4 linked regions of the Rhinolophus ferrumequinum genome follow. The protein of the gene in region 3 interacts with the protein of the main gene of each other region in a pairwise test. Links are inferred from orthologs where the notes say so. Each region holds a gene or a part of one and is shown on either strand. Other genes may lie near its edges. The genes, in order: CAMK2B, ZBTB9, MORF4L1 and L3MBTL3.

Region 1 (7,718 bases), on a different chromosome or scaffold from region 3:
CCTATATATTAGTTATGGACACTTCCATCTGTGTGTAAATTAACCAAAAAAGGAGGACAAACGCCACGAGCATGACAGCAGCTGGAGGAAATGGCGCTTCACACTGATCTGTGATGCTTCACGGCTTATAACTTATAAAAACAACTTAAAGCCAAAAGGGCAATCGAGGAGGGACAGTTTTAAGTTCTGGGCAGAACAGACACACTACTCCGGGAAGTGTTCTCAATTTTAAAAATCCACCCATGGGGAACATAATTTGGTGGTTACCAGAGGGTAAGGGGGTTGGGGGGTGGGGGATGAGGGTGAGGGGGATCAAATGTATGGTGATGGAAGGGGAGCTGACTCTGGGTGGTGAACACACAGTGTGATTTATGGATGATGTGATACAGAATTGCACACCTGAAATCTATGTAATTTTACTAACAATTGTCACCCCAATAAATTTAAAAAATAAAATTAAAAATCCACCCAGATTAAAATCAAGAGAAATCACATTAAAACCACACTGCGGGAGGCTCTGTGCTGGGCTGAGTGTCCTACCCAGCTCTGTCCTGTCTGGGGACCCCCAGCTCGAGGTGGCTCTTAACCCAGGACATGGGTCACGTCAGCCCGGCCCAGCCGGACAAAGGCAGGGCCCCAGAAAACAGCTCCTTTGGCCCTCGGACCCTGTAGTCCAGGCCCCAGTGGACAATGCCTGGCAGTTGGCGGGGGTAGAGAAAGGGATGAGGGAGACCGGAGAAGCTGGCAGCCACGTCACAGGGGCAGCTGTGGGCCAGTGGCCTGGCCTTCCCAGGCAGGGCGCTCAGCGTCATCTGACTGGTGCCAGGGGCTGCAGCTTTAAATAAACTTGGACACATCCACCTGGGCCAGGAAGCAACACCAACTGTGTCTCTGGGAGGCCAGGCACTGTCAACAACCAGCCAACATGGCCACTGAGGACCCCAGCCCTGGGTGGGGTGGCTGAATGCCCAGTTCCTGCAGTCACCCAGCAGGGCTGAGCCTCACACCTGGGGGCGCTCCACAAAGGGCTCCAGGCCTAGCTGAATCCCTGTTCCCCTCCCTTCCTCTCAGGCCCTGCCCCTCCCCCCACACACACACTAGGCCTCTTCACCCACTCAGGCCGGGGTAGGGGTGCACCTGCACTGTGGGGGCTGCCACCCGCTCTGGCTCCCCAGGACAGCCCCAAGGACCCCACTTCCCAGTGTGGCTGTGGGTGGCAGCTGCCATGCTCAGCACTCACTGCTGGGACCAGAGCTTCACAGGAATGTGAAGCCAGGGTCATCCAGCAAGGAAATGGGGGCTCACAGAGAGGCAGCCCTGAGGGTGAAGAACAATGTGAAGTCCCCTGGAAGGGATGCCCTTCCTCCCACTGCCGCCCCCAGCTGGTGTCGTGGGTGGGAACCGGGGAAAGCAGACCCTGCCCTTACCTCTGCTCTGTTTCCAGGTCCAGCCGCCTTGGGGCCCGACACCCAACCAACCCCACTCAAGGGCAGGGAGTTTGTGGGTACGCCGCCCAGCCTTGGCCCCACCATGGGCCCCTGCAGGTCACCCCGCAGCCCCTAGGCCTGGGTATTTGCACCCCAGCCTCCTCCCAACTCCGCACCCACAATCATCAATGGTCAGCATGCACCCCAAACAAGGTGTCAACACAGACATTTGTTTAGAAAGAGAAAGAAAGGATCCGCCGCTGGGTGTGTAAGAGGAAACCTCCGCAGCTGGGATGGAGGACGATGGAGGAGGACGGGGCTCATTGGCAGCAGGCTGGGGTAAAGCCCCCCGATTCACGGCGCCAGCAGCCCCGGCCACAGAGAAGCGCCTGACGGGCTTCGTGATGCAACCCCCCCCGCAAAGCCAGGGCTCAGGCCCTACACCCTTCACATTGGCGAGTAGAGCCGGGAGCCACCTGTTCCCAGATGTGGCCTTACCTGAAAGGAGCCTTCAAACACCTCCCCACCGGCCCCCACCTACCTCTAGGACTCTGAAATCAGGAGCCCCCGCAGGCTCCCCACCTGACCGCCTTATCTCCAGCCCAGTGACCTAACCCCAGTTCCCTGACCTCGGTTTCCAGCTCTCCAGACTCCTCCTTCCGGAAGGATCTCGGGAAAATCCCCCAGAACAGATTCCCTGGGGGACCCGCGGCATAGGTTGTTCTCACGCGGCCCAAAGCGCAGCGAGCACCCCCGCCCCACGACACCCGCGCGGATGGAGCCACGAGGAGGAGCAGGCGCCCAAGCAGGTCCTGCCGCCCCCGCGCCCAGCCGCTCAGTGGGGGTGGGGACAGCACGGCCCACACCAGGGATGACCCTCGGCCCCGGCTGCCCCCTCCCTCACGCTCCAGGACCCAGAGCTGCCCAGGCGCGCCCCTCCTCTCTGACCTCCCGCCGCCAAATGCGTCACGTCTGCGGGGCGCTCGGGGGACACCTGCTGCCGCCCCCGCCGCACTGATCCCCACGTCCCGAGCCGGGGCTTCTGGCTGGGCGACCTCGCTGAGCAGGACCAGGCAGGGCCGAGCACGCGGAGGTCCGGCGACCTGGCCAGGAGCCCAGGGGTCCGGGCCTCGGAGCCGGTGCGTTCCGGGCCCGGAGCCGGTGGGAGCCGGGGGCGCGCCGGGCCGCAGTGCGCCCGGAGCTGGCGGCGCGGAGGTCCGGGTGTCCGGGGTCCCGGCCCCGCACGCACGCGCCGCGGCTCTTACTTGCCAATATCCTCGTAGAGCTGGTACTCGTCAGTGAAGCGGGTGCAGGTCACCGTGGTGGCCATGGCGGAGACGGACGGGCTCGGCGTGCGCTCTGCTGCGCTCGGGCGGCGGCGACTCCGGCTCCCGCTCGCGGGCACGGCGACGCGGACGCGGGCGACACCTCGGCTCGCAGCGCCAGGAGGGGGCCAAGCTGGGCTGCGAGCGCACGCGAGATCTGCGCGCTCCGTGCCCGCCAGGAGCGCGCTGCACACCTACGCGCGGGGAGCGCGGGCGCTGCTGTCACCGCCGAGCCTGCCGTGCCTATCCCGCCTGCCGCCCCCTGCGCGAGCCCCGCACCCGCGCCCTCATCCGCACCCGCGCCCTGCACACGCACGCGCGCGCGCGCGCGCACACACACATGTGCCCTGAACACAAGTCCTTGGAGCTCAGGGCCACGCACAGAACCACAGCCGGCTGCGTCTGCTGGCGACCCTCTGCGCGCGCGCACACAAACGAGACCACACAGTGAATCCAACCCCCTCTCGCCTTAAGGCCCACCTTGCCCAGGACTGCGAGAGGGCACTGGGCGCACAGGGGATGGGGGCACGTGTGCTACGTTCCACAGGATTCATCCCTCACACCCCTGGGAGGAGACTCTGTACTGACCCGTCCGCACACCGCATGGTCCTGTCACCCCCAAACCAGAGTGCGCACTGGAGATCCTGGGGGTGGGAGGTGAAAGGTTGGAGGCTGCCCCCTGCCCATGGTCCCAAACGCTCCCTCCCTCACTCCTCCTAGCCTTGGGTGCTGGGGTGTCTGCACTAGAGGTCCCAGCAAGGGGGCGGTTGGAGTTCAGGCCCAGGGTCCTTGAGTCAGGGGAACTCGTGTCCTGAGCCCCTGCTGGGGTAGGAGGACACATTCTCCCCTGTGCCAGGCGTCATCCACCTGCCTGACCCCCACCTCCTCTGGTCTGATAGAAGAGGGTCCATCCTGGGGGAGGAGGAGGAGGGAGCACGAGGGCTGGCAGGAGAAGCTGGCTGACCCCAATTTTCCACAGAAGAATCTCCCCCAGGGCCACGCCCAGGCTGCCGCCTAGAATGGGGACTTCAGATCCAGAAGAGGACCCACCGGGATCTGGTACCCCCACACTCCCTGAGCGGCCGGGGCCAGGGCCCATCCTGGACTGGCCCTGAGGAAGGAAATTTTCAGCTAGCTCTGGACTTGGGTTGCCTGGCTGCCCTGACGTGAGCCACTGACAGCACGGCAGGTAGGCTCCCAGTGGTGGGCACTTGGCCTGCCCTGCTCCTGCTCATCACTCACCTTGGTGGCCAGTCCAGGGCTGGCCCCAGAGGCCACAATAAATGTTTCCTGGATAAAAGATCACATCGAAGGGATTCTGGGGTGGAGGCAGCCAGGGCCTGCTCCACCAAGTTGCCTTTGGCACATGGATATCGGACAGATTAGCAGACCAGGTGGGACCAGTCCAGGTTCTGCGTGCTTTTGCAGACCCAATTTGCACCCAGAAGACAGAGGCCAAGGATAATCGGGTGAGTCCTGACTGGGGGCAGTGAGGGGCCTTTGGGGGCATGGCCTTGATTGCAGCAGGGTTGGCAGGATGGGAGACCACTGCCATGCCACGGTGCTGGGACCAGAGCCCTCAGCTGTCCTGACAGACGATACCCACCTTTCCTGTGAGGCCCCTCACAGACCAGCAGAGGCTTGCTCTGGGGTTGTGTTCAACCCCGCAGGAGCCTCTCCCCCAACATGCTGGGCCATCTGCGTGGTTCTGAGCTCACAATAGAATGCAAAGAGCAAACAAAACAAAATTGCACCCCTGGGCAAATCAGTCTCTCTCCAGGCTACAAGTAGACTCTGGGTGCTGCCAAGGTCACACACTCGTACCAGCGCGAGTCCATGCCATGATGAAGTGACATTAAAGGCATGACGACGCTGATTTGCTTACCTGATTCTACATGAATTATCTTATTTAATCCTCAAACAATCCTAGGAGGGTTATACTATTACTATACCCATTTTATTAGAAGGGAGAAAGAGAGAGAGGTGACACAGCTAGAACATGCTTGGGACTGAAACCCCACTGCTCTACAACGCCTCGTCTTATTTTCACACACTCGCACACTCACACATACACACAGTAACACACATGCATGGCTTCCACAGCAGCACTCTGGGTGCTTTGTTTTGAGGTCCCTTTCCCTGGGTGAGGAGGCTGCCCAGGTCCAAGGTTATACAAGAAGTCAGGGTCACCAAAGGGGTGCAGTTTGAGCCCCCTTTTCTCCTGTTAGGACCTGAAGTTCCCTGCGCAGTCCCTCCCCTGGGCTGAAACATTAAAGGTGCGACGCAGAGCAACCTTGAGGGCAGAGCACCATTATGGGGAACGGCTGAGCCTCCAGAGACCCTGACAGTCCTACACAGCCCAGCCCCTCACCCCACTCACAGAGCAACTCGCTCCCCACCTCCAGGCCCAGAGGGCTCCTCCCCCGCAGAGTGGAAAAGCTAGAAGAGTGAGGGGCTGCCAGCCATAACTCTTTCTGGGGCTGCCCAGAAGGCCTCTCATCTGGGTTTTGCTTCCCATCCCTCCTTTTGGAAGGGACCTCTTCCACCCGCACCCCCATGTCATCTCCGCCTCCCCCCTTATCCTTTCTAGCTGGCTTTCATCAGTGAGGAGGGCTCTCCCTCCCAGGTGGCAGCTGGGGCGGGTGTGGGGAATATCAGCTCTCAGTTCTGGGAGGTTATTGTTAGGATGGTCCCCATGGCAACGAGCATCACATCTGCAGAGCCAAAAGTGCTGCACTGGGGCTCAGTCCCCCAAGGAAAGCCATGGCATCCTCTGTCCCCTCACCCCCAGGGGCTGCTGTTATGGGAGGGATGTCACTGCCACCACCTCTCTCAGGCACAGTCATCTGCCTGGACGAGCATGCTGCAGTTCCCTAGAGCACAAAGATCCCAGTCATCCATGTCCAATCACCTGGCCCATGATGTGGCAGCCCATGCAGGATGCTGTGGCAAACATGTGGGAGGACGATTTGGTAGTGATGGTGATGATGATGGTGATGGTGGTGATGGTGGTGATGGTGGTGGTGGTGGTGGAGGTGATGGTGGTGGTGATGTGGTGGTGATGGTGGTGATGGTGATGGTGGTGGTGGTGGTGATGGTGGTGGTGATGGTGATGGTGGTGTGGTGGTGATGATGGTGGTGATGGTGATGGTGGTGATGGTGGTGGTGGTGGTGGTGGTGGTGATGGTGGTGGTGGTGGTGGTGGTGGTGGTGATGGTGGTGGTGGTGGTGGTGGTGGTGGTGGTGATGGTGGTGGTGGTGGTGGTGGTGGTGATGGTGGTGGTGATGTGGTGGTGATGGGGTGATAATGGTGGTGATGGAGGTGACAGCGAAGGTGATGGTGGCCAAGCTATAATTTACAATGTACTCACTACATACTGGAAAATCTGAAGGTCTAACACCCACCACCTCATGTAAACGTTATAGCAACCTTGCAAGATAGGGGCTATCGTTAGCCTCCTTTTACAAATGAGGAAACTGAGGCACAGAAAGACTGTAACTGGGCTCAGGTCACAAAGCCAGTTTGTGACAAAACCAGTATTGGCACCCAGATCTGCCTGACTTTATATCTGCTACCTTTAGCCACTGTGTCTGCTCAAGGGTGACTACTGGCCTTGTTCATGTGGTTACTGTGTGCCATTTGTGCCTGGCTCTGCCCAGCACCGAGTCACACTTGGGAATGAGGTGGGCTCATGCCGAAGACCAACAAGAAACAAATGTAAAAACACTGAGTAGTGATTTGCTGGAGAGTGACAGGGTGATAACTTCAGAGTACGTGCCAGGGGAAGCCCCTCTGAGGAGGTGACATTTAAGCTGAGATCTGAATGACAGAGACACTAGGATAGGGGAAGGGCACTGCAGGCAGAAGCAGCCATGATGCAAGGGCTCTGTGGCTGGAGCTGGCTGGTGTGTTGGGAAAGAAGAAGGGGGGAAGAGAGGGCCTGCAAGGCACCGCCATGCTCTATCATTTGTTCATCTGCGCGTTCTGCTTGGTACCTGAGTCCCCCAAGGGAGTCTGAGCCACCTAAACACTAACAAACAAAGTGACAAAGCTAACCAGTTAGCCTGGGACACAGCGAGTGTCCGGCATGAAGGACATGAGGGGACAGACCTGCAGACCTCCTCTTTTTCACTAGGAATCCAAGCCCAAGGTGGGCAGCACTGTATGCAAAAGACCATACGCTCAGCGTACAGGCGTCCCTGCTGGGCCCGCTCGCGGGCAGGGGCTCAGCCCTGCTCCTGCCACCTCTCCTGAACCCCTCCCCGGCCTCTGGTTGACTGGGACCCCCTCCCCAAGCCCCAGGCCAGTGGCCTGTTCTGGTCCAACTCCATCGCATCCCTCCTGGTTGGTGTCACCACCATTCTTCTGGAGATGCCTGTGACGCTGGGCCCCAGAAGTCCAGGCTTTGTCCCAACCCATCTCTCCGCCGACCTTGTATTGGGCTCACACAATTGTCTCCCTCGACCAGGGCTGTTCAGGCAGCATGACACCAGTGTCCCAAATAGCTAGGAGGGGCCGGGGAGCCACTCCCAGATTGTACCTCCTTCACCATGGACGCCAGGGTTTTGTTGTGGAAACTGCATCTTGGTGTGAGTCAGGAGACCTGCACTCAGGCCCCTCCTGTGCCCACCTGCTCACCTCCTACCCGTAAGCACACAGGGCATGCGTGCTGAAGTGGCTATAGGCCTGGGGTTCCCATCGCAGACACAGAGGACCTGTGTGTATCAGCCAAGGACTTCCCTGCCCCCAAGCACCCAGAGGGGGCACCTCTGCTGCCAGGGCTGGCTCTCTTCCTAGTGTTCCAACATAGAGACCCAGCCATTGCGTCCAGGTCCCTAGGAGTCGGATAGCGAAAAGGAGGATGGACTGTGGGCACTCATCAGCTTCTGGCCACATGACCCTCCCCTGACACCCATCGGCCAGAATCTAATCAAGACTTCACTTAGCTCCAAGGTGCTGAGGAAA
Region 2 (7,004 bases), on a different chromosome or scaffold from region 3:
TGGTGTGAACTGGTTTCCTGGTGTGCTTCCCTGGGTTGAAGGCCCTTGTTAGGAGACGGGGGGTAAGATTCTCTTCTCCCTGAGCCCAGAAGATGTAACTTCTACTGCAGGTGAGAAACAAAATAGGAGGGAGGTTGGGGTTGTCCTGAGGGAAGGGGTGGGACCTGGCATCTGGAGCGGGCTGGCTAAGGGGGAGGCCACTAGAGAGGGCTGGCACCCAGGCCCCCTCGAAGCGTCTCAATAAGTCCGCGCTCTCCTCTTTGGTGTCTTGCAGGAGAGGCAGCTTCCCCCCTTGGGTCCAACAAACCCGCGTGTGACGCTGGCCCCACCTTGGAACGGCCTGGCCCCCCCAGCCCCGCCCCCCCCACCCCGGCTGCAGATCACCGAGAACGGCGAGTTCCGAAACACCGCGGACCACTAGCCACCCAGCATCACACACCTTCTTCCTGACCATGCACCCCACCTGAACAGCACCAACCAACAGGACTGGACTTCGCCGAGGGACAGCGGGGTTGCTCCCTGAAGGCCTCCTTGGGGGGCACCAGTCTCCCCCCTTCACTGCACCATTTCCAGGAGGGAGAGTGGGGACCCTTAGCTGCCCCTTTTTCTTTCCTGTTGGGGTGCTGCCCCCTGTAACCCACCAAGGACCCTTGCCCCAGGACACCACCTACCCCACACAGACCCCTTCACTCCGGGGTGCTATCCCCATCCTCTGCCTCATCGTTCCCCTGAGCACTGGGGGACAGACCCTAGCCCCCACCCTGGGGGTGTGGCACCTCCAAACTTTCAACTTCAGGGTGATTTTTTAGCAGTAACCAGAGCTGACAATCTAACTCCCCTCCACCGCCCCATTTTGGCCTCCCCTGTCCCCCTTGTTATGGGGAGGGGACCCCAGGTGAGGGGGCCCTATTACCCCTTGATTTCTCAGGAGCGTCTGGGGGGGCTCAGCACGCACAAACTCCTTCTCCTCCTACCACTCTTAAATTTACTCCCTCCCCACCCAGAACCCAGATGGGGTGGAGGGGCCACCGGGGCAGGGAGGGGGCGGCAAGGGAGGAAGGGGAATTGTGTCCCCTTCTTCCCACACCTGATCTGCTCTTGGCTGGTCCCAGAGCGGGGTGAGGGGGCTTATGCCCTCCCCTCCCCCAGTATGTTGGGTGGGGTGGAATTGAGGTTAGGGTGAGGGGTTAGGGTTTGGGGGGGGTGTGTGTTGGGGAGGACAGACTAGCTGGTCTGCCCTACCCTGGCACACGCAGCCCCCTGCCCCCCCCTTCTTGGTCTCTACTCCCAGGGGGAGGAGGGAACTTACTCTAGGAAAAGCCATGTCTCTCTCCCCCAGGGTGGGGGGACCTGTGTTGGAGGAGGGGTGTTGGGGGGCCCCTTCCATGACTCTGTCCCCCAGGGGGAGGTAGGACAGGGCTGGGCCACCCTTTCATCCTCCCCCCACCCCAATCTCCCTCCACCTCCCTCCTTCCCGCCAGCTCCACAATTTTTTCGGTGTTTCTCTGTACATAGCTCTCTGGCGGGATAGGGGAGGTAGGATGGATGGGGCTTGGGGTGGGTAGGTCATGGGAGGGGAGAAACCCCTCCTTGACACCCCCTCTTCCCTGACTGCTGTCCCCTCCCCAGCCTTGCCCCCTCATCCCTTCTTGCGTTTGGTATTGAGACTTCGCAGACTCCATCCTTCTTTCTTTTGTATGGACAGTTCCCCTTCAGTCCCCTTCCCCTATACACGTACACCCAGCCGGGGCCAAATTTATACTTATATAAAAGTTGTAAATATGTGAAATTTTATCCCTGTGCCCTTTCCTTGCTTTCCCAACTTCAGACCCAACCCTGGACCCCCTCTCCTCCTCCTCTCTTCTTTGGCTGTTGTAATTATCTGGGGTTTGTACTGTACATATCCGGGGTGTGTGTGTGTGGGCTGGGGGCAACCCCTCTGTACAGAGCTTCCTGGCCCCCTCCCCCCATGCTACCCTCCCCACCCACCACCCTAAGGGTAGGGAGATGCTCTTCCTACCTGTTTTATTTTGTTTTCTCGTTCTCCCTCCCCACCCAGCCCCACTCCCAGCCTTCTCTACCCCACCACTGTCCCTTTTTCTCCACTCCCAGCCCCATTTCCTTTTTTTCTGGAGTGTGTGGTGAAACAGAAAAATCATGTTTAATAAACGGAGATTGTTCTTTTATCACTACGCTGATTTTCCTAGGCTGGGGCCTCCAGGACCAGCACAGTGATCGGATCTGCTTTTTTGGGAGGGGGCTTACAGCCTAGGAGAAACTACCCCTGCATGATGCCATAGTGTGCTCCTAGAATACCACTCTCCCATCCAGTGAGATTTACTGTTTTAGAGCAGGGGTGTTAAAAAACAAAACTCGACTGAGTAAATTTAAAGATCTAATTGGCTTTATTCACTGATTCATGAATTGGGCAGCATCCCGTCTAGCGAATAGGAAGGATCTCAGCCCAGCTACAGAAAAGGAAAGGTTTTTAAAGGTGGAAAGGGGTGGAAAACAGAATTAGCAAAGAACGCATTGTCGCAGGCAAGGTCCCCCTCCTAAGGGGCACAGAAGGGGTCCTCACTATAGAGCTGCAGGTAATTCCAGGTTGACTACCTAAAGCAGGGGTGTCCAAACTGCGGCCCACGGGCCAACTGCGGCTTGCAATCCATTGTTAATTGGCCTGCAGCAAATTCCAAACATATATTTAGTTTACTTAAATAAACCAGGTGAGGCAATACGTACTTCACCTCGAGTGAGTGGCCCGGCTGTGTGTGTATTTTACCGCATACGGCCCTTGGTGAAAAACGCTGAAAAAAGTTGGACACCCCCTGACCTAAAGGTTACATTCGAGGGACAGGGTAAAACTGCAATTAGGTTAAGTATTGATTCTTAGTTTGCAGACATGGGCTTGGCACAGGTGACTCCATTTTGGACCTGCTGTCTGTTTTGTAACAGGGTTTTGCACTGGCCGAACACCCAGTCTAGCTCTCCCCTCACCTCTGCCCCACTTAAGCCCAAGGAGTAAAGCCAAGGAATCTGATAAAAGATTCCAAGTATATATCTACATATATCTTTTTGGGGAAAAAATTACCTAGAAATAAGGTTTAATTGCTGGTTGAAATGCTCCCGTGCAGAATGGAGGAAAGAACGTGGTTCCTTGGCAAACTGGGTTTCAACGCCAGAGCCACCAGTTGCCAGCCTCGGTTTTCTCCCTGTGGGGACAGAGTCCAGAGTGCAGTTTCCAGGCTCTCGGCCTCACGAGGAAGGGTGCTGGCTCAGGTAGTAAATGGCCATCAACTGTGATCGGATGGCCATCAGCTGTAACCAGTGAGCCATTGGCCACTAATATAACTGCTGTGGCTATGCTAGCAGAAAATGGGGGCTAGCAAGATGGTGGCTGAGCTGGTGAGAGCTGATTGCAGTTAGCACGGCGGATTGCAGTTAGCAAGTGAGGTTGGTTGGCAGAGAGAGAAGTGGATGGCGGGTTGCGTGTGGCTTCTGCTACCTGTGTCTCCAACCCATCCGCCAGTGAGACTATAGTGGTATGACTCCCCTATCTAGGGCTCCATGGGTGTTCCTTTTTGGCCTCATCATGTCCTGCGTTCTTATGTGGGGAGCGGGGCCAGAGACCCCGCATGCCACCCTGCATGACACCCTCCTCCCCTCCCCCAAGAAAACAGGAGGGCAACACCTACCTCGCAGGGCAGGGGTAGGACCCAGGGAGATGTGGCCAGTGCCCAGCCCACACAGCAGGTGCCCACTTAATCTCGCCCTCTCGGCACCTGGCTGGGCACCCGCAGTACATTTTATCACCAAGGCGGCTCACTAGTCTCCCCTCCTACCGCTCAACGCTTCCCAGGCCCGACCCCCGGGCCTCCCGCAACGGCGGCCGCCGTGAGACGAGCACCGCTTCTCGCCCGCGCAACCAATCAACACGAGGCCCGTCGGCCTCCGATTGGCTGTTCGTAGCCCGCCCTCCGCATCCGGCGTCGGCGAGCGCCGGGAGGAGGTGGCTTCCGGCCGGCGGCGCGGTGGTGGTTTAGACGCTCTCCGGCCGCGCGGCGCGTGTACCGGCGGGGGCGTGGCGGCGGGAAGGACGAGGACGGCGCGGCCGGCGCTCGGGGTCTCCCGGAGCCGCGTCTTCCCGGGAGCCGCGCCCTGTGGGCACCGTAGGGGAAACGGAGCGGCGGCAGGAGCCGCCCAGGGCCGGGGGTCGGTCAGGCTCGTGGCTGAAGGTCCTCCTCATCTTGTTCCGCACGCGCTGGAAGTGAAACCCCTGGTTGGTGCTTGGTTGTTTTTGTTTTGTTGGTGGGGATGTGCGCGGGCCTGATCTGCAGCAACCATCACTGAAAATGGGGGGTGGGGAGGCGGGTGGTATCTGAGGTGATATGGTCCCTTTATCCGATGTGACCCCCGTCTCTTTCCACCGCAGCTTTCATCCCGCGTGGGGTCTTCCACGCCCCTCATTTGCTCTCGATCCTGAGACATCTCTCCTTCCTAGGAGGCCATGGATACCTCGACGCCTTTGCCTCCGGTCCCCCCGTCCCCGATCTGCAACCCAGCGCCACGGACCATCCAGATAGACTTCCCTCAACATAGCTCGTTGCTGCTGGAAGCCCTGAACCGTCACAGGCTAGAGGGAAAGTTCTGTGATGTGTCGCTCCTGGTGCAGGGCCGGGAGCTTAGGGCTCACAAAGCAGTGCTGGCTGCTGCCTCTCCTTACTTCCATGACAAACTTCTTCTGGGGGACGCGCCACGGCTCACTCTGCCCAGCATCATTGAAGCTGATGCCTTCGAGGGGCTGCTCCAGCTCATTTATTCAGGGCGCCTCCGCCTGCCGCTGGATGCGCTCCCTGCCCACCTCCTTGTGGCCAGTGGCCTCCAGATGTGGCAAGTAGTAGATCAGTGCTCAGAGATCCTGAGAGAATTAGACACCTCAGGTGGTGGAATGTCAGCCCGTGGAGCGACCCCTTGTCACACACTTCTTTCCACCACGTCCTCTACGGGAGGTTGGTGCATTCACTCTTCCTCTTTCCAGACTCCAGTGCAGTCTTCTGCTTCTACCGAGAGCCCCTTTGGAGGGGAGGGGAGTGAACTGGGAGAGGTGCTACAGATTCAGGTTGAGGAAGAGGAGGAAGAGGAGGAGGAAGAAGATGATGAAGACCAGGGGTCAGCAACACTCTCTCAGACTCCTCAGCCTCCGAGAGTATCATGGATTCCCCGCACTCATGGATCCCACCCACTGCCCATGTCCACCGTTCCCTGTAGGCTTCCGGAGGATGGGAGTGCACCAGCTGAACCTCCTGCCCCTCTAACCACACTGCACCCCAAAATCTTCTACGTTAAGCAGGAACCTTTTGAGCCTAAGGAGGAGATATCAGGAGGTGGGACTCAGTCTGGAGGAGTAAAGGAGGAGACCAAAGTGGTTCCTGGAGGGGACGCTGAAGGGACTAGAGAGCTGGGGTTCTTGCTTCCCTCAGGAGCAGGGGCAGCATCTGGGGAAGGGGGTCCATCCTGGAAACCCGTGGATCTTCATGGGAATGAGATCCTGTCAGGCGGTGGGGGACCTGGGGGTGCAGGGCAGGCTGTGCATGGGCCTGTGAAGCTAGGTGGGGCACCCCCTGAAGATGGAAAACGCTTTGGTTGCTTGTGTGGGAAGCGGTTTGCAGTGAAGCCAAAGCGTGACCGGCACATCATGCTGACCTTCAGCCTTCGGCCCTTTGGCTGTGGCATCTGCAACAAGCGCTTCAAGCTGAAGCACCACCTGACGGAGCATATGAAGACCCATGCTGGAGCCCTGCATGCCTGTCCCCACTGTGGTCGTCGGTTCCGAGTCCATGCCTGTTTCCTTCGCCACCAGGACCTATGCAAGGGCCAGGGCTGGGCCACTGCTCACTGGACTTACAAGTGACCACTGAGGCCATACACTAACTTCCAGGACGAGAGCTACTGCTGCTGATGACGCTTACCCCTCACTACCGTGACACCCCAGTCCTGGATCTTGTAATCATGCCAAAAGGAGAGATACATTATGGACTCTTGTTCTTGGGTGTGGGCCTCAACCTGGCAGATTTGGAAACTCAGATTTTTCATCCCACTCCAGGTTTTGACTAATCACCCTTAGCCAAGTGGTTTACAGGCCATATGTAAATTGGTCACTTGCCCACAATAGACCTGCTTTTCATACAGGAAACCAGATTGCACATTAGAAGTTTATCTGAAGAGAGAAAAGTTAGAACAAGAAGACAAAATGATAAATGTTTCATTCAGTCTCCATGAGGAGTAAAAGGGGCTGGTCTCCACCTAGGGGTATGTTTGATTCAGAGCTTTAGTAATTCAGAGGCTAAGCTCTAAGTTTCCTTTCCCTCATCATAGGGGAAATGTGAACAAAATTCTTTTTTTTTTTCTAACAGGACTTTATTGGGGAACAGTGTGTACTTCCAGGACTTTTTTCCAAGTCAAGTTGTCCTTTTGGTCTTAGTTGTGGAGGGCGCAGCTCAGCTCCAGGTCCAGTTGCCGTTGCTAGTTGCAGGGGGCACAGCCCACCATCCCTTGCGGGAGTCGAACCGGCAACCTTGTGGTTGAGAGCCCGCGCTCCAACCAACTGAGCCATTCGGGAGGCAGCTCAGCTCAAGGTGCCGTGTTCAATCTTAGTTGCAGGGGGCGCTGCCCACCATCCTTTGTGGGACTCGAGGAATCGAACTGGCAACCTTGTGGTTGAGAGCCCGCTGGCCCATGTGGGAATCCAGCGGGCAGCCTTCGGAGTTAGGAGCATGGAGCTCTAACCGCCTGAGCCACCGGGCTGGCCCCAGAATTCTGAATATGTACTTTCCTTATGTCTTTCCAGAAGTCCCTCAGGGTGTAACTTGCTTTCTCACCAGTAGACACCTTCCCAACACCTTTATGTTTATGTTGTAGTTGAACACTTTAAAGTTGAGCGCTCCATGTGTCACCCCTGGGAACCCCTGTAACAGAGAGCATTCCCCCCTCAGCCTGTGCCTCTC
Region 3 (7,168 bases):
CATTGTTCTTTTTTTGTTAGGCTTGCTTTGGCTATTCAGGGTCTTTTGTGGTTCCATAAAATCTGATGATTTTTTTGTTCTATTTCTTTTAAAAATTCCATTGGAATTTTGATGGGATTGCATTAAATCTGTATATTGCTTTGGGTAATATGGCCAATTTAACTATGTTGGTTCTTCCAATCCATGAGCACGGAACGTCTTTGCATTTCTTTGCTACATGGTATTTTCAATTGATTTCAGAGCCTGCTTTAGCTTTTGAATCATCGTCTATTGTGTGAACAACAGGGCACGGCCGAGTAGAACACCGTCGGGCCCTAGAAAAACCCCAGGAACCTCAAAGCCACACGGGCCGAGAAGGCCCCTTTTCAGCCGTGTTCTGGTCTCCAGTCTTCTCTGCTGATGGCGCAGGCATTCCTGCTTGTGCATCGGGCACACGGGTGTCGGGCACCCTAGGTCCGCGCCACAGGCGTGTACTTCGCCCCGGGATCTCGGGGTGAACTGGCTGTTCCCGCTGGCGTCTGGTCTTGGCGGGGGTCTGGGACCACCTGCACCCGCCGCTGCGCCGCGACCGCTAGAGGGCCGTTTGTGCCTTTTCTGAACAGTAAGTTTGTGCGCGCAGAACCAGGCATGGAACGCACATTTGGAAGTAGTGAAAAACTTTACTGAAAACAATTATTAAAAAAAAAAAAAAAAAAGATGCAAAAAGTCAGTTTCAGAGCAAGTTAAAATAATCTTATTCCTTTGAAGTGAGCTAGGAATGGCACATTTCCTGACTGCCCGGCTAGCTCAGTCGGTAGAGCATGGGACTCTTAATCCCAGGGTCGTGGGTTCGAGCCCCACGTTGGGCGGCGGTTCGTTCAGTTTTGTTTTCCAGCTGCATTTTAGGTCTCGTCAGCGGTAATCATTTTTTACCAGCTTCAGTTCTCGTCAATGGTAATAACGGACTTCAATCTGGAGTCTATTTTCAAACAACACAGGACAAAAAACTACTAAGATTGAACAGATTAAAAGAGGGAACCGTGCAACTATAAGGCGATTTCATCTTATAAATACACAGTTAAAGGCTATCTGGTGTAGAGAAATATTTGTCACCGGGTGGTCTATTGAAGGACAGTGGAGTGCCAAAGGTCAGGGAATAAGAAGACAGGAAAAATAGTGAAACCGTGGCGTTCCTAAATATTGCGGAAGTGATCTCTGTCAAAACGTTTGAAATGTGTTTTTAACTTAATACTGTGAGATATTGAAGGTTAATTTGGAGATCAGCTCTACTTCACAGGATTCACTGTGCATATTAATTTCACATTTGTAAATTCCTTTAAGTAAGGACTAGTGATTATTATGGGCTGTTTAAACCACTGTAATATTGTGTTAGTTAGCTAGTCAGGTGGCTCTTGTGAACAGAACCTTAGGACTTTTTTATCCTTTGTTTTCCCTAAGTTAGTAATTCAAACTGAAGAATTTTCCCTTGGCCATTTTTGTCTTAAAACATATCTCAAAACAAGTAATTATATTTTCCTACATGTTTTCCTAAAAGAACTCAATTTCTTGTGGCAAAACTTTGCTTTTAGGTTAACACCTGCAAATTCTTTCCTTGTCTTATTTTCCATCATTCTCAGTAATTGTCAAGCATTCTCCACAATTACCATATGTTATTATCATCAATTCAAACACAATTTTAGACTTTGGAAGAAAGACATGGAAATTTTCAGCATCAAAAATGAAGATCCCTAAGTACCCCTATTACAGAGTAGTCCTTCATCGCTAGGTGATGGGAGGTGAAGTAGAAACTTTCTGAAGGCAACCCATGGCAGAGAGACGCCAGCTGGTGAGAGGTCAGGGAAGATGTCACATATCCATTTCACGTTGAAGACCAGCATTATGGGTTGAATCGTGTCCTCTTAAAATTCGTATGTAGGATTCCTAACCTCTAGGGCTTCAGAATGTGACCTTATTTGGAAATAAGTTTGTTGTAGATGTAATTAGTTAGATGTGGTCATAGTGGAGTAGAATGGGCTCTTAATCCAGTTTGACTGTTGTCTTTATATAAAGGGGAAATTTGGAGACAGACACACAGGAGAACGCCATGTGAGGATGAAGGCAGAGATTGGGGTGATGCTTCTACAAGCCAAGGAAACCAGAGATGGCCAGCAACCATGGAAGTGGGGAGAGGCACGGAACAGCGTCAGCCTCACAGTGGTCAGATGGAACCAACCCTGCCAACACCTTGACTTTGGACTTGTAGTCTCCAGAATTGTGAGGCAATACATTTGTTGTGTAAGTCACTCAGTTTGTGGAACTCTGTTATGATAGCCCCAGAAAACAGATCTTGTTACTGGTGCTAGGTTCCTTGCCCCTCTCAGGGTAGAAATCAAGAGAGTGGATGAAATAGTTTTGCAGAGAGAAAGGTTTATTAAAGCGAAAGCTTGATGTACAAAGGGAGCAGACTCCAAGAGAGAATGGATGTGGCTCCCTGAGGTTTACAGATACAGCAGGTTTCTAGGCTCTTGGGGTTGGGAGTCACCCCTTCCTCTCTCTCCCTCCCCGCCAAAGTTTGTTGAGGTGGGTCCTTTCCTGCGCCTGTGCAGTATACCTACAAGCGCTACTTCATTGCAAGTTTCATCTTAAATCTCCGCCTTAAGGTTTTTTTTTAATGTGATAATGAGGAAAAGTTAACTATACCGACAGCTCTTTAGTGTGCATGTGCTACTTTAGAAACTTTCCCTGGGCCGCTCATCTCTCCTGCGATTTTGGTTTTGTTATCTCCTTGTTTCTTGTTGGCCGTCCCTGTGGCTCAAGGATTTTCTCTTCAGGTGTAGGCTCGGCCACGTGACCACCCTACGTGATCACCAACTACAATATAATCAGTGTTCTAGTGGGTGGCAATTTTGATTGTAATGTTTTTTTCCTTATTAAGTAATTGTTATCTCCATTTCATTTAATTTCAAAAGCCTTGGGAAAAGCACTGGTTTTGTTTCGATGTTGGGGGAATGGGTGGGTAAAGGACTGAGGTGGGAAAGAAACTTTTCATTGTCTTCATTTTTATATTTTTAAAATTATGGATTATTGAATTTGAATTATTTTGAAGTATTTTGTGTTCAAAAGAAGAGGTGTACGGGGCAGTTTTGGTGCGGTGGGTGGGGTCACAAAGAGGCCCTTGCCTCTTCCGTTGATACTCTGCGGACTAGGACAGACAAGATGGTGTGTAGACAACTGGAATGAGGGTTCTTTGTGGGTGTTCAAAGAAGGGCTTGTGTTAGGAGGAAGACTGAAGGAGAAATAGGAGTCAGAGAAATGGAGAGAGGTCTGCAAGTAGTGGGGTGCTCAGCCGTTCGGGGAGTTGAGGGAAGCCATGGAGATAAGCTGAAGGCCTGGGGGGATGTCGAGGGCCTTTGGTGGAATGCCTTTGAGGCTTGTCCTCCTTCACGTTTGTCGAGCGAGGAATTCACTGTTAGGCACTCAGCCTTTTTGTGCAATTCTCACAATAAGTCGATTCGGCAGCTGAGCAACCTAAGGCCTTTTGAATGTGTGGTCAGCCGTTCACGATGTGTGTGTACATTCAGTAATAGCTCACAGAAACTTGACAAAAGGCTGCGCACGTGGGGCGGTGGGCACCCGACTCGGAGGAGGGTGTTACAGGTCGTTATTCACCTCGGCCTACTGGGAAGGCAGGTAGCGCGCCATCGTCTCCTGCCTCCCGCCGGGTGGGCTCTTCAAGCCACGCGCGGGCTGGCAGCGAGCTCGCAGATTGTGGCCGGACCGCGGGTCCCCAACGCTGCCACACGCACGCGGATACCCCTAGAGATGCCGTCGGAAGTACTGAAAGTGTTTAGACGCATCTTTCCTCGTAGGCCTTTCATGCCACATCCTGCTGGCCCGTGTCGCCCGTGGGGTTGCACACTGGGTCTTTCCAGCTCGTTTTCGCTGGCGAGGGACCGCCTCCAGCACCGCGCCCCAACACTGCCCCGAATCAGTCCGGGTTTCACCCACCCGGGTTGCGGGGCTGGGGGATGAGGGATGGGGGATGGGAGGAGCCCCTCCCCGCCCGCTCAACGGCTGGAACTACCACTTCCAGCATGCCCCGGGCGGCGCGGCGCAGGGCGCGTGCGCGGTGGGCGGTGGTTGGCAGGCGCGGCTGCGCAGTCGCGGCTGTGTGAGGTGTGCAGGCGCCGGCAAATCGCGCCCGGGATCTAGAGCTGGCGCTGCCCACGGCGTCTGACGCGGAGCTGGGTGGGCTGGAGAGTGGGGGGCGGTAGTGCGAGTGGTGGGAGAAGGAGGAGGCGGCGGCGAATCCCTATAAATGGCGCCGAAGCAGGACCCGAAGCCTAAATTCCAGGAGGGTGAGTCTGGGCCTTGGGAGAGGCATCTAACGGCGGCGGGGCGGGCGGGCGCGGCGGGGCGGTGGCGCGGAGGGGCCGAGCGGGGCTTCGTGCAGAAGCGCATTGCGGCGCGGCTTTGGGCGCGGCCCGGGCGCAGCGCTTTGTGAGGCGAAGGCGCTCGGCGGGCGCGGCGGAGCCTCCCTCAGCGTGTGTTGTGTGGGGGCGGCGGCGGGAGGGACGGGCGCCATGGCGGCGCGGAGGCGGCGATGTGGCGGGAGGGGCGCGGGCCCCCGCGGGGCGGACAACGGCTGGCGCTCGGGGTCGCCTCGGGCCCGGGGCGGCGGCGTTGGCTGGAGGCGCCGAGCCGCGGCGGGGCGGGCGGGGCGCCCGGGCTGGGGAGAGCCGCGCCGTGAAATGGCCGCCGCAAGATGGCCGCCGGCGTCGCCCTGCGCCCGCCTCCGCGGGGCGGCGGCGGCGGCGGCGGCTTTGTGCTGCCTGCAGGCAGCGCTTGGCGGCCCGGCGGTCGAGTGCGCTCTCGCCGGGCGGCTGCTCGTGAAGAGAAAGCCGCTCGGATGGTGTGTTACGAGGCGTCTGTTCACGAACCCTGGTGCCCTCGCGTCATCCTTCCAGTCCGCAGTGGACTCACGGCGGTGGCGTTTGACTAACTGGTTAGGAAGCTGAGTGAGTTTGGATTAATTGGCTTTTGATCGACGAGGTTTTGGGCTGACGGCAGAACCTGCCCTGCAGCGGAAGACAGCCCTTTGAGTTCACGATTAACGCGTCCGTTACCGTGTGTTCAAGTGGAGACGTCATAGGAAAGGAAAATGGAAGCAGAGACCTGTAAACAAGCAGGGACGCTCTGAAACGTACCTCGTTGCTGTGGATGTGCGAGCTGCTTGAGCACAGATGTCGAGACGGCCGCAAAACAATGTCTTTTGTTGTAGGGGTTTTCAAACTTGCGTGTGTTTTAGAATTACTTTTAGAGTCCTATGTCCAAAGCCCAAGTATTTTGTAACTTTATGGAATATTTAAGAGGTTTTTAAGGGTATTTTTGATAACGATGGGCTCCTAATAGCCGCTTTCTCCTACCTTGAGAAGCTGGGACTACCTCCTATGGGTATATATATATATATATTTTTTTACTTGTTATTTTAGAGCAGGATTCTTATTCTAGTGGATGTAATTCAGAAGATTCGTGAACTTGGACGGGAACATTTTTTTATTGTCTAACTGAAAATTATTTCAATTAGGAATATAGCCCCCCCACACACACACCAAAAAAAACCCGTGCGGTGGGATTGTTACAATTCCTGCCTCTAGCCGTCTGCCTCAGTATTAGCAATATGTTTTCATATCGCAACGTTACCGTTGCAGAAGGTACATTCAGTGTCATTTATGTTCCTCATTACTTCAAAATTATGCTAGTTACTGGATCAGTAGCTAAATGTTTACTATATCAGTTGAGCTCACGTAATACAGAAAATGATATTTAAAATGTTTTGCTAACTATTTCAATATAGTTGGTTTCCTGTCATACTCTGTGTTTATGTATTTATAATAACATTCTGGAAAAAAGGCCCATATGCTTCACCAGATCGTCAAGGGTCGATGATACAAAAAGTTAATCCCTAGTTTAGGACATCAAAGGAGGAAAATCACTGAGGATTGGAATTGTCGGGTAACTTTCTGAGGAGGAAGTGCTTTAGTTCTGAAGTAGGGGGATGGCAGCGTGAGGGGAATAACAGCAAATGAGTCCGTGTGCTGCAATAGTGGTGAATTAGAGAAGAGTGGAAACCAGGGTTCCCTTAGGTTTTTGAAAGCTACCTAAGAGAGTCTGCCTTTACTATCACTTTACAGATGTGTTTTCTTCTCCTGTCAAAGCTGAGTTGTATAATAACCATCGTTAAGAAATTATCATTATTTATATGACATGTTCAGAGGATATGTCGTAAGGAAAAAGGAATGTTATGTTAGTGCTGACAATTGTAATAGAACACTGCAGAAGAATTGAGATTATGTAATGGCGGAAATATGAATTATTAGAAGTATGTTTTTCATGATTCCTTTATTTTTTTTTATTAGAAGTATGTTTTTCATGATTCCTTTCTTTTTTTTTTTCCATGATTCCTTTAAAAACTCATTTTTTTCTCATTTAAACAATGGTGCAACTTACGTTATATAAGCAATTTTTAAAAGCACATTTTTTTTGCACTTGGTCTTCCACTTGAAATTCTGTTAAAGCATATGGTAAAGAAACTCGAGCACCTGGCCCATTGTCAAAGGGAAGGCCCTTTGCCTTGTGTCAGGAATTAAGAGACTGGCTAATGCTGGCCTTTGAGTTCCTAGTAAGCACAAACCAGTGGGCGAAAGGGGGTTTGGAATCTTAATTAACCTTGAATTTGAGAGCATTGGGCAGAATTACCTTTGTAGTTTGATACTAAAAAGGATTAAGAGTGGAGAAAGGTTTTTTTTAAAAAAAAAACAACATCTAATACGTGGTTTTCCTCTTTCTCCCGCAATTACCAGTCTTTCTTTTTACTACTTCATGAAAATCAGGCATATGTTGTCCTGGATCATAACTCTTCAGCCAGCCTATATTTTTCAACAGAAGATTTAGGGCCATGTAGCTAGAATGGAGGCCAAAGGGCTTAAGCCCAGTGCATTTGGTGGCGGCAGCCAAAAGGATGGTGAGGAGGAAGGCCATTTTCAGGGTGCTTTTAAAGTGTACCTGGAGAGGAGCTATGAGCCACAGATCTGAGCTTTGGTGCTGCTGTTTATTAGCTTATTTACATCCCCATGGTCTCCTTGCTCACAATATTCAACGGTGGCTCTAGCCCAGCTCTCTCCTGAGC
Region 4 (7,500 bases), on a different chromosome or scaffold from region 3:
TTTCTACTTAGGTAGTTTGTAATGCCTAATAGCTAATGAACTTGCACTCTACCTTTTTCTGTCTGTGAATAGTTTAGTTTTTGTAATGCCTATCAACTGACTTTATCTTCAGTATTTCCAGTTCACATGGCCAAGTGTGAGAATATGACTGGTGCAATTTCATCATTTTCAGTCATATGGGAAAGCATACCCTGCTGACTCATAGTCCACCTCTAGCTACTCGATTCAGTCATTGGATTAAATGCTCACTCCTGGACCAATCAGCTGTGGCCAGGAGGCCAGGTTAAACGAAAAGAGCATTCTAAACAGGATCTAAGTGTATCAGCGGCTGTTGTCACAGACATCTTCTCAAGTCTGGCTTGTGCCTCTAGCATTGTTTAGTTATAAGGCTTCTGGATTTGGGCTTTAAATGAGTACGTATGTTATGGAAAATTATAACCTGTCTTTTTCCTTTTAATTTAGGAGTTAGTTTACATTCCCATATTATTCCACACCTTTGAACATGTCTGTCATATTTCTATCTTTACCTTTGCATGTAAACGAAATGATAATAAATATTCACATCTCTCCAGAAGCTCTTTATGTATTAATTTCCTTAAGATGTTGAGAGCATGATACACATTATAATCCTTTCCTTACCTGATGAATAATATACCCTTTTCCTTTCACCCTCAGCATTTCAATTACATTTCACTATCACAAGCTCTGTACTCATAATGTATGCAGATGTATCACAGAAAGATAACCAGGATTCAAATTAGAGTGCCTATATGAACATTTTGGTGTTATCTAGAACACTTAACAAGAAAATCAAACTCAGCTCTTACAAATATCAATAATAAGAATCTTGGCCAAATCAATGTTAACATCATTTTTATACTTGGAAAAACATGGAGCACACAATTACGTAGGCCAAAAAGATCAATAATTTGACTCATATTTAAAAGTAAGATAATACATTTAAAGGTTGATTTCAAATATTGTTCATTTAGAAATTTCTACGAAAGATTCAATTTTACCTTAAAACTTGCACACATTATAACATGGGAGGCTGGGGTTAGGAAAGAAGTTTGTAGCTATGAAAACACATCAAAACTAACTAGCCATTAGGGAATGGAACCCATGACCTTCATCTCATTAGTACCAGGTTTAAACCAACTGAATGAGCTATAAACTGATAACATTTTGATACCTAGCAGATGGATGGATTTTCCTTCCTTACTTAAAATTCCTTTCTTGGTTCCACATTATTTGTACTAAAATGTGATAGTGGTCCTGTTAGGTGGGAAGTATGGGGACGGACATGGTTTTCAAAGAGACCTCAGAAATCAATTACTCTGTTTTCTTAATCGAACTCAGGAGAGAATTGAAGCCCTGAAAAGGGAAATAAGCTCAGTAATGGTTCCCAGTGGGTGGTGACAGAACCAGATTAGAATGAAAATTTCTTGGCCTTCACTCCTGGGCACTTTTCATTTGTGAGGGGCTGGCTCCTGGAGGAGGTTGTCCTTGAGTTTTTCCGTGTCCTATCAATGCAGAACAAGTTTAGTTTTAGGAAAAGGGAGCTTTGGTTTCTCAATGGAAGTTGACAGAGTGAAGGTTGCAGCATGGCGTACAGCGAGAGAGGTTTTGAATGATCTTCATCTGGGAGGTGGTGAGAAGCCTTAGAAACCCTGAAGATTTGTTTTAACACATTTTCCATGGAAAATGATTTTAGCTTCCGAATATTTAGGAATGGAGTAATCTGAAGTTACTTTGAGGGCAATGAGTTTGGAAATAAATAAATACAAAGGAAACTAAAGGAGTGAGCTAAGACCTTAGTTTAGAATTTCAGGGAAGTTATAGACCTGGTCTGAAGGATGGATTTGGTATTGTAGGTGTGGTAGGGTAAAGCAGGGGGGATGGGAAGAGGGGAGAGTGGTAGAGAATGATGAGATTAAGTGATGCCGGAAAGAAAGAATTCATGACTTACTAACCAGTGACTGAATGGTGGAAGGGTGAAGGAAAGCAAAGATGCTTCCACTAGTATACTACCATTTAGGGAACAGATGGAGAAAGGTCATGTGACTAGTACCAGTTCGAATGAAGAATACCGCAGTACTATGTAGATTCTAATACTGCATTGTGCCTCTGTGTACAGTGGTGGCGCCAAAGGATTCTTTGTAGGAAAAATGGTAGCAGCCTTTAAAGTCATTATTATTCTTACACATGAATACCTTCAAAATATTTGTTATTCTGAACCACATCTTGGCAACTACTGAGATGAAATCTTTGAGGTTATATTGATGATCTCTTGAGGAGAAAGACAATGTAGAGACAGCCTCCTGATTTTTGTTAGTGAACTTCAGTAAGTGCATAGGCCCCAGGCAAGCCTTGTTCTCCAAACCCTTGGACTTCTACTCAGGATTTCTCTGATTGGATCACCTTCCCAGAGGAAAGGTGCAAGCACACACCCTGGACACTTATCCTTCAAATCAGCTTAACTATGACTGTTTTTAGAAAACCTTTTCTTATTACTATAGGTGCTCCTCAGTTGTACTTGCTCTGCAAACCCCTACTACAGTATTTACCATACTATAATGCAATGCCCAGTTTACTAGACTGTTTCTCTTGCCGGACTAACTTCTTTTGGGCTTAGTTTTTATCTTGTGTTATTTCCCCAGCACCCTGCAGAGCACTTAGCACAAGGTAGGCCGTTAATAGGTTTACAGACTGTTGAACCAACATCTCTGAAAATATATGTGAAATAGAAATATCATCCAGAACTTATCTACAGAGAATGAATCTAAAATGGATTTTCAGAAAGAGGAATCTAAAATTAATTTTAGTTTCTTTTGGGGTAAGGTCTTAGTTTTGCACATAGCTCGTGGGCTTTCTTTCCTTCTCTTCCTGTAGTTGGCCTTTGGCCATTGCAGTGCTCATTATTCAAGGACTAGAGAGAAAAGGAGAGAAGCTGAAATTTAGATTAATAATGCTGTTTGGGAGCAGCTCTGAAAAAGGTTGGATGTGGTGGGTGAAATGAATAGTTAACTTGCAGTATGAGATTATCTATAGCTTTCAGTAACCCAGCCTTCCACACTTCACCCCTAAGCCAAAGGCTTCCCAACATATGAAGCATATTTTATAAGCTTATTTCAACCTTACAGTGTTTGTTCCTTTGTTCTTGAGTACATATCAAGCCATACACGTATGTCCTGATTTTTGACTTGGAGAATTCCCTCATTAGACCAACAGAAGAAATAGTCTGGTGGTCTGCTTCTCTAGGGTAATTTCATGGTCCTGAGGAAAGAATTTAACAGTTTATTTTCTGAAACTGGTTCAAGGAACATTCCTTAAGTGAAAAAAATTCAATCAAGAATAATATTACTTACATTTTGGAGAAGGATTTTTAATACAGAATTTCCATCTGTGATATATTTCAATTCTAGGCCTCAGGCAGCAATTGCAGATAAGGGCCTCCTTTACTCTTTATTAGATACAAAATAAATAGTACAGTTTCAGGGACTGGGGCCTCTGCCTTACTTTCCCACCGCTGCAAAAATGTAAGAGTTGGTTCCATCATTCCTGAAATCACACAGGCTACTTTATTTCTTGCACAGCAAACTCTGTTATTGACATTAAGATGGTTATCATAACTTCAATTGTTTGAATTATTTTGTAAGTGCTTGTACCTAGGAAAAAAGGAGAATGGTGAGCTGCCCAAAGGAGGCCTACAGTCAATAAATGGAAAGTTGTCAATACCGAAATACAGTACTCTCTTAATCTAGTTTTGATGCCTTAACAAAGGCAGATTTTGCTATTTAGGACCGCTCAGCCATCTTGATTGAATACATTAAAAGGCAGTCTTCGACTTGCTTATTGCCAAGGTACTTTAACACTGATTTCTAAGTTGATGTACGGATCTCAACACACTAGTACTTCATAACAAAGGCCTAACATGTTTAAAAGCCGTCAAAGAGACCAACACTTAAGAAACGGAAAGAACACGCATTTTACACGCATACTTTATTATGCATTCTTCCAGTCCTACAGAGAGGGAGGTTCTACTGCGTAAAAGCTTAAAACTTTATTTCATATTTTTCATGACCTGTGGCATGCATTTAGCCTTTGGGTAGTGTCTGTATAAGACTAAGGCCCACTCTTTAATGGCTGAATGCATACATTGAACAGTACGTGGTGGATTAGCTGCTCTGAGAATTGTCTTTTTAAAAAAGTAAAGTGAAAAATAGACAAAGAAATCTATAACCTTAGCTGTCTTTCAGATTTGTTTTGACTGTTCTTGAACCAGCTCTGAGCCAGTGACAAGGATATTGAAAAGATGCACCTGAAACAGTATCTGCGGGCAGCTGCATTTGCCAATCGGCTTTATTGCTGCTTTCCAGCGGCGAAGGCGCAGCAGCAGTAAGAGGGAAGCCAGAGCGAGCCTCCCCGGCAGCGGCGGCGGCGGCGGCTGCGGCGGCGGCACCGGCACCAGCGCAGTTTCCCCTCTCCCCAGCCCTGACTCTACGCGCACATGCGCACTGCGCCCGCAGCCCTGGACCATTTGTCAGGACTACTCGTGAGACGGAGAAAAAAAAAAGAGAAATTTTGGGGGTAAGAAGCGTTTGATCGGATCTAATCTCTAATTAATCTGAAGATTTGTCCGTGCAAAGGCCATTCATTTATTTTTCTGTGTGAGGATGAAAGTTAAGAGACCTATAGAGAGAAGGAAGCGCACCCTCGTCTTGTGAAACAGATCAGGGGAGGGGAAAGGACAGAAGGGGTTTCTCCCCCACTTCTCTGCGCCTCTGGGAAAGAGGAGAAAACTTAATCCTGGGGGGAAAAGTGGGCAAGTGACTCGGAAATGGCTGGAGGGGGAGTCTCTGTGCATCTCACTCTGAAGTAGTGAGTGCGAGTGTGAAAGAGGAACAAAAGAGAGAGAAAAGAGAAAGGAAAAAATGGGGGGAGGAGAGACTTGTATTTTTTTCTTTGCGCGCACACGGGGAAGGGTGTGTGGGGCCGTGCGGAAGGGAGCCGGGGCGAGGCGGCCGCGTCGGGCTCTCGCCGGCGCGCAGGCGGCGGGATGCGTGTGGGCCCCCTCCCCCGCGCCCCCCCGAGCTTGTCACTTTGGTCGCTTTCATGACACCGGGCGCGGGGTGGGGGAAGCGCGGCGGCGCCGGGCTCCGCCAGGGTGCGTGCCCGAGTGGGCGCCGCGGAGCCGCAGCTCGGGCGGCGAGCGCAGCCGCCGAGGCGGGGGGCGCCGGCGGGGGGCGCGGGGGCGGCTGGGGCCGCGGATCCGTGCGGCGGGAGGCACGAGCCCCGCGCGCCGCCCCTGCGGCCCCCTCCGCCCGTGTGGCCTTTGTGCCGAGCGCGCACCGGAGAGCGAGCGAGCGAGCGAGCGCGAGAAGTACAAGTACGGGAGACCGAGGCAGTGGGAAAAGAGGCCGGGCCACTTTCTCCCCGCTTGGGCTGCGGAGAATGGACTGGTTGAATGTGCAGGCGCGTCTCCCCGGCGTGTGCTGTGTGTGCACGGCGGAAAGGCCTCCCCGACTCCCACCGCGCACACGCACACTCACACGCACGCACACACTCACGGACCCGCGGCGGGGCTCGGCGGCCGAGAGTTTGCATTTTCTTCCTCGCCACCTCCCCCTTCCCGACCGACTGTGTGAGAATTTCATATAGATCAGCTCCAATTTCCGCCATTTTGGGAAAGTTGCACAAAAATAAACCCTCCGGTTTATTTCTGCCCGAGGCAGGAAAGTGCTTCGGGAAGCGAGGCGGCGCGGGCCCGCCGCGGCCGTCCGCGCAGGGGAAGGCGCGGGCCGCGGGCCGGGCCGGGAGCCCGCGCCGTCGCGGCGTTTGCCCCGCGCCCTGCCGCGCCGCGCCGGCCCGGGTGCGGGCGTGTGTCGGGAGGCGGCGGTAGCGGCGGGCGGCGGCGACCGCCGCGCCTGGGCGGCGTTGGGGGGGGCAGGCGCGGGGCTGCTTTTCCTGCAACTTGTTTACGCCGTCCTTATATTGGGGAGGCAAAGAGGGGTCCGAGGTGGGGCCGTTGCCGGCCTGGAGCCGCGTGCGTGTGCCATTCCGGAATAATGGGTTTTGCACACTCGCGTCCTGGGCCCGGCGGGCCGTCCTCGCGCCGCGGCGGCCGGGCGGGGGGAAGTAGAGGCCGACGGGGGTGGGGATCGGGAAGCGCAGGAGCCGCGGCATCCGCCGCGCGCCGGGCGAGCTGGTGTGGGGGGGGGAGAGGGAGGAAAACTTGTGAGTCCTGGAGGCGGGGGGCGGGGTACGGTGGCATGGGCTGGGGGAGGGCGCAACTTTAGTGCTGGTGGTAAAACTTTAATTACCTTAAAAAAAAAAAGGCCCTATAATCCTCCCCCCCCACCTCTGGTGAAAGCACGGCCCACAGTGCGACCGTGAGAGAAAGTTTAAAAGCGGACGATCTCCTCCCCACCTTCCCCGCGGAGGGGTGGGGGTATCTGTCCGTCTGCGCTCCGAGGAAGGTGGGGGTAACAAGTCGCCCTCCGGGGTGGCTCAGACCGTGGCTCTCACCCCACCCTTCTACGGGGAGACGAAGGTAAACGTCGCTTCGGTTTCCCTCCCTCCCCCCGCTTCCTTTTCCTCCCCCTCCCCGCCGATTTTTTGAGGGGACCCAAAAAACGGAGTCTCTTTCCTTATGCAACTTCCTCGGCGCTGTTAGCTCGGCCCTTCCCCCTCCCTGCATCCCTTGGCCCGCTCCTTAACCACCTCGGGTCTACCGCCAGAAAAATGCATTAGAGATCATTCAAAGTGCACAGAAACAAAAATAGATTTTTAATTGTTCTAAGTTTAAGTTAAGGGAAACAGATGAGAAATAAGAACGGGGAGGGGGGTGGCCGGGGCGAGTGCGTCGATTTTTTAATTTTGTTTTTACTAGAGCGTTGTTTGTGATATCTTTATTGATTTTGGGAGCCCGCGAGTCTCCGTACTGGCTAGCTCGGTCGCGTGGATTTTTGCGCAAGTTTTTAGAAAAACACTGACTCGAGTAGAGCATTTCTCCGGAAAGTTTCAAGTGCAGCAAAATAGCGAACGTGCAAAACTGGCCAAGGGGAGACCTCTAGTGGTTAAACGCATCTTTAAGTTCGGAAGGCCGAGAGCAAAGTTTGGCCTTTACTTGGAGCTACGTGGTCCGTTCAGACGTGGAAGTAATTAGAGGACCTGAGCTAGCAGCCAGATGTTGTGTGAAAGGATGCTGATCAGAAATAGAATGTTCAGTAAATCGGGGAGCAAATTGATTCTAAAGACCCAGACCCTATAACTTCCATTCCTTATTATTTATATGGGAAAAATACTTTGCTTTTATTTTGGACTTTGAGCTTCGTCACTCCCTGGATTAGAAATCTATTTTTTTCTTATTTATGGTTGTCTATACATTTGATCAACTTTTAATCAGGAGAAAGCGGATAATTTCATTTTGAATGTTAGTAAAAGTACAAAGTACAATATGTGTTTAAAACTGAAAAAATGAAAAAGACCTTTGGTTGA

Evidence for each region.
Region 1: the proteins of MORF4L1 (region 3) and CAMK2B interact in binary tests that used the Homo sapiens proteins (3 or more experiments, as listed by UniProt). The two-hybrid records come from large-scale screens. The link is inferred for Rhinolophus ferrumequinum from reciprocal best matches to the Homo sapiens genes MORF4L1 and CAMK2B.
Region 2: the proteins of MORF4L1 (region 3) and ZBTB9 interact in binary tests that used the Homo sapiens proteins (3 or more experiments, as listed by UniProt). The two-hybrid records come from large-scale screens. The link is inferred for Rhinolophus ferrumequinum from reciprocal best matches to the Homo sapiens genes MORF4L1 and ZBTB9.
Region 4: the proteins of MORF4L1 (region 3) and L3MBTL3 interact in binary tests that used the Homo sapiens proteins (3 or more experiments, as listed by UniProt). The two-hybrid records come from large-scale screens. The link is inferred for Rhinolophus ferrumequinum from reciprocal best matches to the Homo sapiens genes MORF4L1 and L3MBTL3.

Annotation. Positions count from the first base shown.
Region 1 is NC_046303.1:208,219-215,936, forward strand, and holds the start of CAMK2B (calcium/calmodulin-dependent protein kinase type II subunit beta), read right to left. Parts: upstream 3,013-7,718; 5' UTR 2,758-3,012; coding exon 2,693-2,757; intron 1-2,692. UniProt on the Homo sapiens protein: Calcium/calmodulin-dependent protein kinase that functions autonomously after Ca(2+)/calmodulin-binding and autophosphorylation, and is involved in dendritic spine and synapse formation, neuronal plasticity and regulation of sarcoplasmic reticulum Ca(2+) transport in skeletal muscle.
Region 2 is NC_046286.1:3,764,102-3,771,105, forward strand, and holds ZBTB9 (zinc finger and BTB domain-containing protein 9), read left to right. Parts: upstream 1-4,018; 5' UTR 4,019-4,279; intron 4,280-4,432; 5' UTR 4,433-4,507; coding exon 4,508-5,911; 3' UTR 5,912-6,493; downstream 6,494-7,004. Other genes in the region: SYNGAP1 (ras/Rap GTPase-activating protein SynGAP), read left to right, coding at 275-421. UniProt on the Homo sapiens protein: May be involved in transcriptional regulation.
Region 3 is NC_046311.1:885,985-893,152, forward strand, and holds the start of MORF4L1 (mortality factor 4-like protein 1), read left to right. Parts: upstream 1-4,149; 5' UTR 4,150-4,297; coding exon 4,298-4,337; intron 4,338-7,168. UniProt on the Homo sapiens protein: Component of the NuA4 histone acetyltransferase (HAT) complex which is involved in transcriptional activation of select genes principally by acetylation of nucleosomal histones H4 and H2A.
Region 4 is NC_046286.1:77,800,875-77,808,374, forward strand, and holds the start of L3MBTL3 (lethal(3)malignant brain tumor-like protein 3), read left to right. Parts: upstream 1-4,483; 5' UTR 4,484-4,590; intron 4,591-5,265; exon of another isoform or gene 5,266-5,389; intron 5,390-5,445; exon of another isoform or gene 5,446-5,644; intron 5,645-6,301; exon of another isoform or gene 6,302-6,553; intron 6,554-7,500. UniProt on the Homo sapiens protein: Is a negative regulator of Notch target genes expression, required for RBPJ-mediated transcriptional repression. It recruits KDM1A to Notch-responsive elements and promotes KDM1A-mediated H3K4me demethylation.